Oryctolagus cuniculus: one gene and its partners. The protein of the gene in region 2 interacts with the protein of the main gene of each other region in a pairwise test. Links are inferred from orthologs where the notes say so. Each region holds a gene or a part of one and is shown on either strand. Other genes may lie near its edges.

What was found.
Region 1: the proteins of EXOC1 (region 2) and KIF5A interact in a two-hybrid assay, tested with the Homo sapiens proteins (2 studies listed by BioGRID and IntAct). The link is inferred for Oryctolagus cuniculus from reciprocal best matches to the Homo sapiens genes EXOC1 and KIF5A.
Region 3: the proteins of EXOC1 (region 2) and TRIO interact in a two-hybrid assay, tested with the Homo sapiens proteins (2 studies listed by BioGRID and IntAct). The link is inferred for Oryctolagus cuniculus from reciprocal best matches to the Homo sapiens genes EXOC1 and TRIO.

Annotation. Positions count from the first base shown.
Region 1 is NC_091442.1:60,183,249-60,186,902, reverse strand, and holds part of KIF5A (kinesin heavy chain), read right to left. Parts: intron 3,627-3,654; coding exon 3,525-3,626; intron 2,688-3,524; coding exon 2,627-2,687; intron 2,383-2,626; coding exon 2,311-2,382; intron 2,165-2,310; coding exon 2,060-2,164; intron 1-2,059. UniProt on the Homo sapiens protein: Microtubule-dependent motor required for slow axonal transport of neurofilament proteins (NFH, NFM and NFL). Can induce formation of neurite-like membrane protrusions in non-neuronal cells in a ZFYVE27-dependent manner.
Region 2 is NC_091439.1:108,582,961-108,585,286, reverse strand, and holds part of EXOC1 (exocyst complex component 1), read left to right. Parts: intron 1-902; coding exon 903-1,097; intron 1,098-2,326.
Region 3 is NC_091445.1:43,638,223-43,641,773, forward strand, and holds the end of TRIO (triple functional domain protein), read left to right. Parts: coding exon 1-9; intron 10-620; coding exon 621-1,163; 3' UTR 1,164-2,932; downstream 2,933-3,551. UniProt on the Homo sapiens protein: Guanine nucleotide exchange factor (GEF) for RHOA and RAC1 GTPases. Involved in coordinating actin remodeling, which is necessary for cell migration and growth. Plays a key role in the regulation of neurite outgrowth and lamellipodia formation.

The DNA of each region.
Region 1 (3,654 bases), on a different chromosome or scaffold from region 2:
CACCCCACTCCCCTGCCACACACACACACACACACACACACACACACACACACACACATACACACACACACAGAGTCGTTCTCACATTTCTGCTCACTACCTTCTCATTCCAAGACTTCCTGGGCTGTCCTACCCCCATCTGAATGAAGCCAGAGCGAGGGAGCAGCTGCTACCTTTGCAGCGAGCAAAGATTTCTTGCTCTTTCACAGGGCTCCCCACAAGGACTGGGAGCACCAAGACTGCAGGAGGTGCTGGGCCTTGGCAGACACAGGGGAAGCCAGCAGAGCAGTAAAGGGGCGGAGCTGGGAGCCTTTCTGTGCACCTCTCCTCTGACAATCGGCATTTGCACAGAGAGGGATGGTGAACACACAGTGGGGAGAACAGAATGGCAGAACTGATTACAAACCATTTCCTGGCTATTTTTTCAACGTTTCCGTAAAAATGTTGTTGCACTGTTTTATAAGTCAAGGAAATAAAAATAGCTGTAAAGACTTCTGCAGACACAAATCAAAATAGAGCCTGCAGGTCATCCCTGGGACACAGGTTTGGGATATTTTCATTTTTTGAAAAAAGTAGCAGTGGTGTTTAGTCTAGCAGTTAAGATGCCCTCATCCCACGTGGGAGCGCCTGGGTTCCATACCCAGCCCTGGCTTCTGACTCTCGACTCCAGCTTCCTGCTAATGCAGGCTCTGGAAGGCAAGGGCGCTGACTCGAGTAACTGGATCCCCCAACCTGTGCCAGACCCAGATTGAATTTCTGGCTACTGGCTTTGGTTTGGCCCAGCCTCAGCCACTGCAAGGCATTGGGGGAGTAAACAAGCAGATGGGAGTTCTCTCTAACTGCCTCTGCCTCTCTCTAAATAAACAAACAAAAAAAATTTTTAATGTATTAAATATTTACTGTTGGGGGCCAATGCTGTGGCGCAGTGGGTTAAAGCCCCGGCCTACAGCACCAGCATCCCATATGGGTGCCGGTTTGAGTCCCAGCTGCCCCACTTCTGATCTAGCTCCCTGCTAATGTACCTGGGAAAGCAGTGGAGGATGGCCCAAGTCCTTGGGCCCCTGCACCTACATCGGAGACCAGGAAGAAGCTCTTGGCTTCTGGATTCAGATTGGCTCAGCTCCAGCCATTGTGGCTATTTGGGGAGTGAACCAGCAGATGGAAGACCTCTTTCTCTCTCTCTGTCTCTACTTCTCTCTGTAACTCTTTCACATAAATAAAATAAATCATATATATATATATATATATATATATATATAGTCCATACCATATAGGCTAGACATTACATTGGGAGGAAGAGAAGTTGAAGTTCCCGGCTAGTGAGAATATGAGTCTGATGGAACTGTCAGGTGGATTTGCAAGGACGGAACTGAAGTGCGTGCTCGAGCTTCTTTTATGAATTCATTAGAAGAGCCACTCGCCAGGCTGTTGCGCCTGCCTTCAAGGCCCAGCTGCGTGGCAGCAGCGAGGGTGCACCTGCTCTGTACACACCAAATACTTCCTGTCCTCACTCCTTTGGACTGCCCTCTGCCTCCCCACCCCGCCCCTGTGAGCACCAGTCATGCACCTTAGAGCCACAGCAGCAAGGAGGGGCGCAGAGAGGCAGCGACCAAACACACAGAGGCTCTCACCTGCCCCAGCCAGGCGCTGCCCGGGCCGTCTCCAGGACACTGCTTAATGTCCTTGCAGGCCAGCCCAGGCCTAGGCAGCTGGAGTTCTCACCCTTCCTCTTTCTCCCTGCCTTCCCTCTGGTGTGGTGACAGAGACACCCCCACCCCCCAAGCCTTTCCGACCTCTGCCAGCCTCAACCTCTCTCTCCAAGGCAAGTCTGAGGAACTCCACTTGGAGCAGGGCTGGGTCAGGGACTCGGAGAAGGGAAAGCAGGCAGGCAGCAAAGGCCAAGGCCAAGGCCCAAAGACGGCATCCGCATCAGTAGGGCAAGTAAAAGAGAACAGGAAAACAAGCAACCAGGTGTTTCTGGACCCAGGGTCTCCAAGGATCTGGGTGTCCTAGGTGTCTGGCCTCAAAGACTGTCTTGGCCCCACCTCCGGACTCTTACCTGTTTGTGAACCTTTGTAAGCTGTTCCAGGTTGTTCTCAAGAAAGGAAATCTTCTGCTTTTGGGAGTGAATCCCCCCACTGTCCTCGGGCTCCATTTCTGCACTCTGATCAGAGACAGACAAAGATGTGGCCAAGCAGGTCCCCCAGAGAGCGGGTGCAGCCAGCCCCACCAGGGAGAGCAGGGGCTGCAGATACGTGGAGAGGGGTGGGTGTGTGTGTGCGCACGCGCGCGGCCGAGGATGGCACTCACTTTCTTGACTCGAGTCGTGACGTCTTGAACGAACAGCTTGCGAAGGTTGTGGAGGGTCTGGAGTTCACGGGCCTGGAAGGGATCATGAAACACTGGGGCTGGCCAGGTGCCACACCCACCCCCTCCCTCCAGACTTACGGGAACCTCGGCTCTACACAGTCAAGGGAGTCACTCACCCTTTCCAGGGGCAGGGGGTGGGGGGTGTCCTGATTACGCCACAGACTGGACGGGGAGAGGGGTCAGGGAGAAACAGAGGGGACGTCACGAAGCCCCGCCCCCCACACCCCATTGCTTGGCACAGAAGGAAGCCACTCACAACTGTCTCCTCCAGACCCTTGAGGTCCTGCTTGGACTGCTCGTGTCGCTCGTACAGAAATCTGCAGCAGAGGACGCAGAGAGAGCAGGACACAGAAAGCCTCACTCACCGCCCCCACCCCTTTTATCCCTGATCATTGTGTTGCACAAAGTACTCAGGGATACTGTACAAAAACTAGAAAAGGATTTTAAAAGAGCGCTAAGGGAGTGGGTATTTAGCCTGGGGTGAGGACACTTGCGTCCCACAGTGAGCCTGGGTTTGATTCCTGAATCCAGCTCCTGGTTCCAGCTTCCCACTTAGGCAGACCTTAGGAAGCAGCAGTGATGGCTCGGGCTACTGGGTCCCGAGCCACCCACATGGGAGACCCGGATTGAGCTCCTGGCTTCTAGCTTTGGCCAGCCCAGCAGCAGCTGGGGAGCAAATCAGCATATGGAAGCAAACTCTCTCTCACTTTCTGCTTCTCAAGAAAATAAAAAAAAAAAAATGAGAAAAAGAACATCCCTCTTTAAAAAAAAAAAGAGAGAGAGAGATGGGGCTGGTGTCATGGTGTAGTGGGTTAAGCAGCCGCCTGTGACACCAGCATCCCGTATGAGCACCGGTTCAAGTCCCAGTTGCTTCACTTCCAATCCATCTCCCTGCTAATGTGCCTGGGAAAGAAGTGGAAGATGAAGCAAGTCCTTGGGGCCCTGCACCCACGTGCAGGTTTTTATGGGGTCATACCAGACTGCTCTTACACCAGCTTTTCACAGTTAACAGAACCCACAGGCCTCTTCCGGCTACTACTCAGGTCGCTTCTGAGTCTCCTTGGCCCCTCCCTGACCTGTGGGTGGCCATGTGTGCCAGGTGCCCAGGCGTCCCGCCTCTGTGGGCCCGCTGGGCGCGGGTGAGCATCACTCACGTCAGCTCCTGCAGCTTGGCGCTCTTCTCGTGCTCTTCGCTCTTCAGCTTCTCATAGTCGGCCTGCAGCTTCTCCAGCTCCAGCTGCAGCTTCTGATTCAGGCTGTGAGGGCCGCGGGGAGAAAAGCAGA
Region 2 (2,326 bases):
GGCTTGAGCATTTGGGAAGTGAACCAACAGATGGAAGATATTTCTCCCCTGCCCCCCACCACCCCACCCCACCCCCGCTGTCTTCCTCTCATCTCTCTCTTCTCTCTGTTGCTCTTTGCTCTGCCTTTTGAATAAATAAATAAATGTTTTTAAAAATCAGTAAGAAAAGTACTCAGACCCCCATAGAAATGGATAAGGGCCCTGAATCATTACTAAATGTAAGAGAAAGCAAGTTGACTTCATTTATTGCCAAAGAATGATGAAATAAAGCAACAAATCTTTTTCACTCTGAGAACACTAGTTTTAAATTGTAATGATGCTGATGATGCTATGGTGAAGTGGCAATACACTGCTGACAGGAATATCAGTGATTGGGCTTCCCGGGGAGGCACTCTGTCTGTGGGGAGACTCTCCAGAATCCTTGTAGTTATACTTCTTGTTTGAGTGATTATAGTCCTAGGAATTTACACTGGAAAGTAATCAGCAGTGCAGTTAAATACCTAGATGTTCATAGCAACTGTATTTGTAATAGATTTCTAAAAGTCTAACTAGATTTTCCTAACTTTCCCAAGAAGAGGGAGGGTATTAAATGTCCAGTACTGGAGGAATTAATTATGGTTCAACCATTGGCTGGAGTACTATGCAGCCATGAAAATGCATACTTAGGAAAAAACATATAGTAGTAAATGAAAAATACAACATGAAATTATTTATGTGTTCACACATGAAAAGATTAGAAAAAAATCTCAGATGATAATTTTTCTTAGGATTGCTATTTTATTCTTTATACTTCCACAATCACTTTTTATACCGTGAATATATGTTATTTTGTAATCAGGTTTTTTTATGTAAATGCTTGTGAAAGCAGGTTGCAGCTGTAATTTCTTTTCCTTCCCTTGAAGCACTTCTTTGAAGGCGTCGAAGCCCGAGTAGCACAGGGCATAAGAGAGGAGGAAGTAAGCTACCAACTTGCGTTTAACAAGCAGGAGCTTCGCAAAGTCATCCGAGAGTACCCTGGGAAGGAGGTGAAGAAGGGCCTGGACAACCTGTACAAGAAAGTTGATAAGCACCTGTGTGAGGAAGAGAACTTACTGCAGGTACGCTGCCTTGTTCCCTTGCTCTCCTCCCCCCGCTCCCCAGCCTGGAGACCCTCTGTGGATTTTTTTTTTTTTTTTTTTTTTTTGACAGGCAGGGTGGACAGTGAGAGAGAGAGACAGAGAGAAAGGTCTTCCTTTGCCGTTGGTTCACCCTCCAATGGCCGCCGCGGCCGGCGCACCGCACTGATCCGAAGGCAGGAGCCAGGTGCTTCTCCTGGTCTCCCATGGGGTGCAGGGCCCAAGTACTTGGGCCATCCTCCACTGCACTCCCTGGCCACAGCAGAGAGCTAGACTGGAAGAGGGGCAACCGGGACAGAATCCGGCGCCCTGACCGGGACTAGAACCCGGTGTGCCGGTGCCGCAAGGCGGAGGATTAGCCTAGTGAGCCGCAGTGCCAGCCACTTTGTGGATTTTACTACATAAGCATCTGCACGTATTTCTGCTCCTTTTGTAATTCTGTTTTGTTGTGCTGAAGGACTACTTTTCTTCTATTTGGTGTTTTGTTTCCGATTTGGGAGGGGGAGGTAAATGCAGTCCAGTCTAGCCCCATGAAGGCTTGGAGTTCGGAGTTCCTGCGTTTGGCGCATTAGCCTCTCTGGGCCTCAGTATCTTCATCAGAACAGTGAAGGTGCTGTCTCCCTCGTGCAGTAGGCCCTGCTGTTGTGCATTTTGTAGACGAGAAGATCAGCATAGAGAGGTCAGAGTGATGTGCCCAAGATCCCATACCTAATGAGTGGTGCAGCCAGGTGTAAACCCCAAATTAAGCATTATTCTTTATAACCCATGCGGAAAGGCCCAGAGTTGAGTGGGAGTGATCCTAATTTCAACATCATGGGAGGCTTCGTGAAGGCTGTTGGTTTGTGTGAACCTCTGAAAGTCTGCTTGCCCAGGTAGAGTCGGGTGGAGTGTGTGGCTTTCTAAGTGGAAGAAACAGCACAGGCTAAATAATGAAAAGCAAAAAGCATAGCACTGTCAGGGGGCAGCGAGTATTCTGAAGTTGGCAGGAACTTAGGTTTAATGAGATGTAAGGTTTGTAAGAAGAAATTCTAGAATATATTCCGTCAGCTGCCAGGTAAGGATGATGTCATAGTGCCCTCCGCGTCATCATGAGACTTAGGAATGTGGACATGAAGCAGCTGGCCTTGCGCTGATGTCCGGGAGGCCCCGCTGAATATCATCTGCGGGTGCTAACCACTGTGTCAGTGTGTGTCACGTTCTCTTGGCCAGAT
Region 3 (3,551 bases), on a different chromosome or scaffold from region 2:
GACCTAAAGGTGGGTGGGCCTGTGGCTGGATGAGAGCAGGCCCAACCATGCCCCCAGTTCAGCCATGCAGGACATGGAACTCCATCTTCCATAGGCAGGGCAGGAGATGGGCGACTGGGGTCATATAGGCTGTGGGAGATGGGCACACTGACCCCCGACCTCCATTTCTAAGAGTTTGCAGGTAGTGATGTCCACAGCCGGTAAAATACTAGGTAAACATTTCAGATCCCCCAGCGTTTCATGAAACTTTCAGAAAGTTCCCGTGAATTTTGCAGGGCTAGTGGAGGACTGGTTCCACAGTCAGTTAGAAAGGAAGGAAGGACACATTCTACGTGTAGAGCTGGTAGGGAAGATGAACTCCCTGCCTCCCAGACAACGCCTGAGGCCCTAGCTAGCTGCTTTCCACTGAGCTGGGTCAGCGGTCCCTTTGTTGTCAACACTTCTTCCTCTGTTCCCCGGGCTTGAGGGCCAAAGGCTTCGTCCTGATTTGCACCTGAACACTTTGCTGTAGTTGCCTCTGCAGGTGCCTTCTGCCTCCCGCAGGTGCCTGCCGACCATCACAACTGTGCTTCAGCTTGGGGTTCTTTTGGAAATGACAGTTGTCTTGTCCTGTATTCTAGCCTGAAAACATCCTGGTGGATCAGAGTTTAGCCAAGCCAACAATTAAACTGGCTGACTTCGGAGATGCTGTCCAACTCAACACGACCTACTACATCCACCAGTTACTGGGGAACCCCGAGTTCGCAGCCCCCGAAATCATCCTTGGGAACCCTGTCTCCCTGACCTCGGACACATGGAGTGTTGGAGTGCTCACATACGTGCTTCTTAGCGGCGTGTCCCCCTTCCTGGATGACAGCGTGGAGGAGACCTGCCTGAACATTTGCCGATTGGACTTCAGTTTCCCAGATGACTACTTTACAGGAGTTAGCCAGAAGGCCAAGGAGTTCGTGTGCGTCCTCCTGCAGGAGGACCCTGCCAAGCGCCCCTCGGCTGCGCTGGCCCTGCAGGAGCAGTGGCTGCAGGCGGGCAGTGGCAAAGGCTCAGGCGTCCTCGACACATCGAGACTGGCATCCTTCATCGAGCGGCGCAAACACCAGAATGATGTTCGACCTATTCGGAGCATTAAAAACTTCTTACAGAGCAGGCTTCTGCCTCGAGTTTGACCTATCTTGAAGTTCTTTCTCATTCTCTTTCACCTGCCAATCAGCTGTTCATTTGAATTCCGAAGAGAAACAAAAGAAAACAAACCTAGGTGACCAGCTGCCGGTGTGTTGATCGTGTGAAGTTGCATTCCAAGTGAGCTGCCTGGGGTGGAGGACTTCAGTCACGCTCTGCGGAGGCAGAGGTCGCATTGCTGTATCACAGTATTTTATTCAGGTTTCTGCAAAAAAATAAAAAATAAAAATAACTTTTTTAAATGAACATGAATAGAATTTTGCAAATTTAACATTTTCAAGATTTATTCAAGAAAACACAATGCCTATGTTCAACCACTGGTATTAATGAACAAAACAAAGATACTGTACATCTCTGGGGAAGCAGCGCCCAGGTGGTGGCCCTTGGCCAGTGCCCAGTGGCCACCTGGCACTATGCCTTCCCAGCCGCCTTGTCTGCGTGCACCCCGCCACACGCCAGACCTGGCCTCCGAAACATGCATTCAACCTCAAACTTTTGCATAAAATAGAATGAATTGTTTTGCTCTGATGAAATGTAGGCCTTACTTGTATATAAGACTGTTCCTGCCTCCGGTCTGTCATTTCCCCCCCTACCTGCCCTTCCCACCTGCTCCCCAGCCCCGCCTGGGGCTTCTTCCTCAGAGTCTGAGGGTCTGCCCATCAAATGGAGACATCAGGTTGGGTCCTGCCCCACTGCCCCCTCCCCTGTTCCCACCCTAAGCCGTCAATCAGATTGTTGAGCAGTATACAGTCAGATGAAAATACTGTAAATGCACTCATTGGGGGTTTTTTTGTTGTTGTTTTATTTCATATCATGTGCAATGTTGTGGCTTTAACATTTTATGCAACTATTTATGGAGACCTCTGTTGTACCTGTAATAAATATATAGAAAAAGCACATACTTCGTATAGTGAGCTTTATGGTTTTGTGTGTGTGTGGGAGTGGGGGGTGGGGGGAAGGGTCACAGCCCTGTGCCATCGGTTCAAGGAGACTCAACTCCTCGTGAAAATTGTCAGTTTTGAAGATTGTAAAAAGTGATTTCATACTCTGAATATAAAACTGGATAATAGGGTAATGTTTTAAAGTTTATTATGCTATTATTCAGAATGCCAAAGTATTATTTTTTTGTCCCAAAATCAGTCTGGACATTTACTACTTTTTAGACTTTTTGACGTTCAACTTTCTGTACAAAAATTGGCTGGATTTTGAGCTTTTGGTAAGAAATAAAAGCCAATTAAGCACTGGCCCCTCTGAGGCTGGTACCCAATGCCCGAGTCACTGTGGCAGAATCAACGCTGGTGCAGGGAGTCCTTTCCACAAAAGAGGCTGCAATTCTGGGCACACTTGAGTTTTTTGGATGTCTTTTTATCTTTGCTGTGTGACGTACACTAAAAGGAGGCCAGCCTGCTCCCCAAGCCAGCCAGACACCTGGGTCTTTTGAGCCATAAACTGGCATCGTTAAGCTTCACAGCTTCCAATGTATTTTATTTATTCTTTTGTTGGGTTTTTGTTTGTTTCTTCTTGTAAAATTGTACAGAAACTTTTTAAAAGAAATTGGATTCAAAACTGGATGTGTATTCGTAACCTCATAACTTTTATTTGTGTATTGTTTCTTTTATTATTTCAGTTAAATTTTTGCATTATTTTGCATGTATATTTCTTTGTACAGAGACCTTACATGTTTACACAGTATGATGTGATGTAAATATTTTATTTTGCCATCAGTTATTTTAAAAAATTAAACATATTTGCCTGATTTTTGTGTTAGACCTTTTATTTACATTGATCACTATTGAATCAGAACAAGAGATCTGAAGGAGAGGCCTTTTGCGGTGGGAGGGTTCAGAATATTCTACATTTGGAATATGCCGTTGAGGACCAGAAATAGGAGTCAGCCAGGCTCCTGCAGACTGGTTTGCAGAAACAAAACTCAGGACACTGGTGTAATTACCAGAATGTCAGCTGACTGAGGGGCTACAGCACATCCTTGTTAGAATATCTGAGTGTCCCCTCCCCACTGATGAATGCAGAATCTAAGCACAAGGAAGACCTGTTACCTCCAGGCTTCAGAAAGCAAAGTTCATGTCCAGATCAAGACAAGAAAATGAAACAGTCGGGTTCAGGCAACATATAGTGAACAAACCAAAGATCCTGTACATATGGAAAACTCTTCCCCACCCAGCCCCCCTGTGGGTGGCTGTCTCTTAGCCCCTGGCACCAGAGTTCACTGGGTCCTGGGGGACTTGGAGTTCAGGTTTTCCTCTACAGGGCTCTCACCAGTGTGGCTTCTTAGCTCTGCTGGCCCCCTGCTGCTGACAGTTGCTTTTCCTCCTGACCAATAAATATTGTCTCTCTTGTTTTGATTCTGTGTGGCT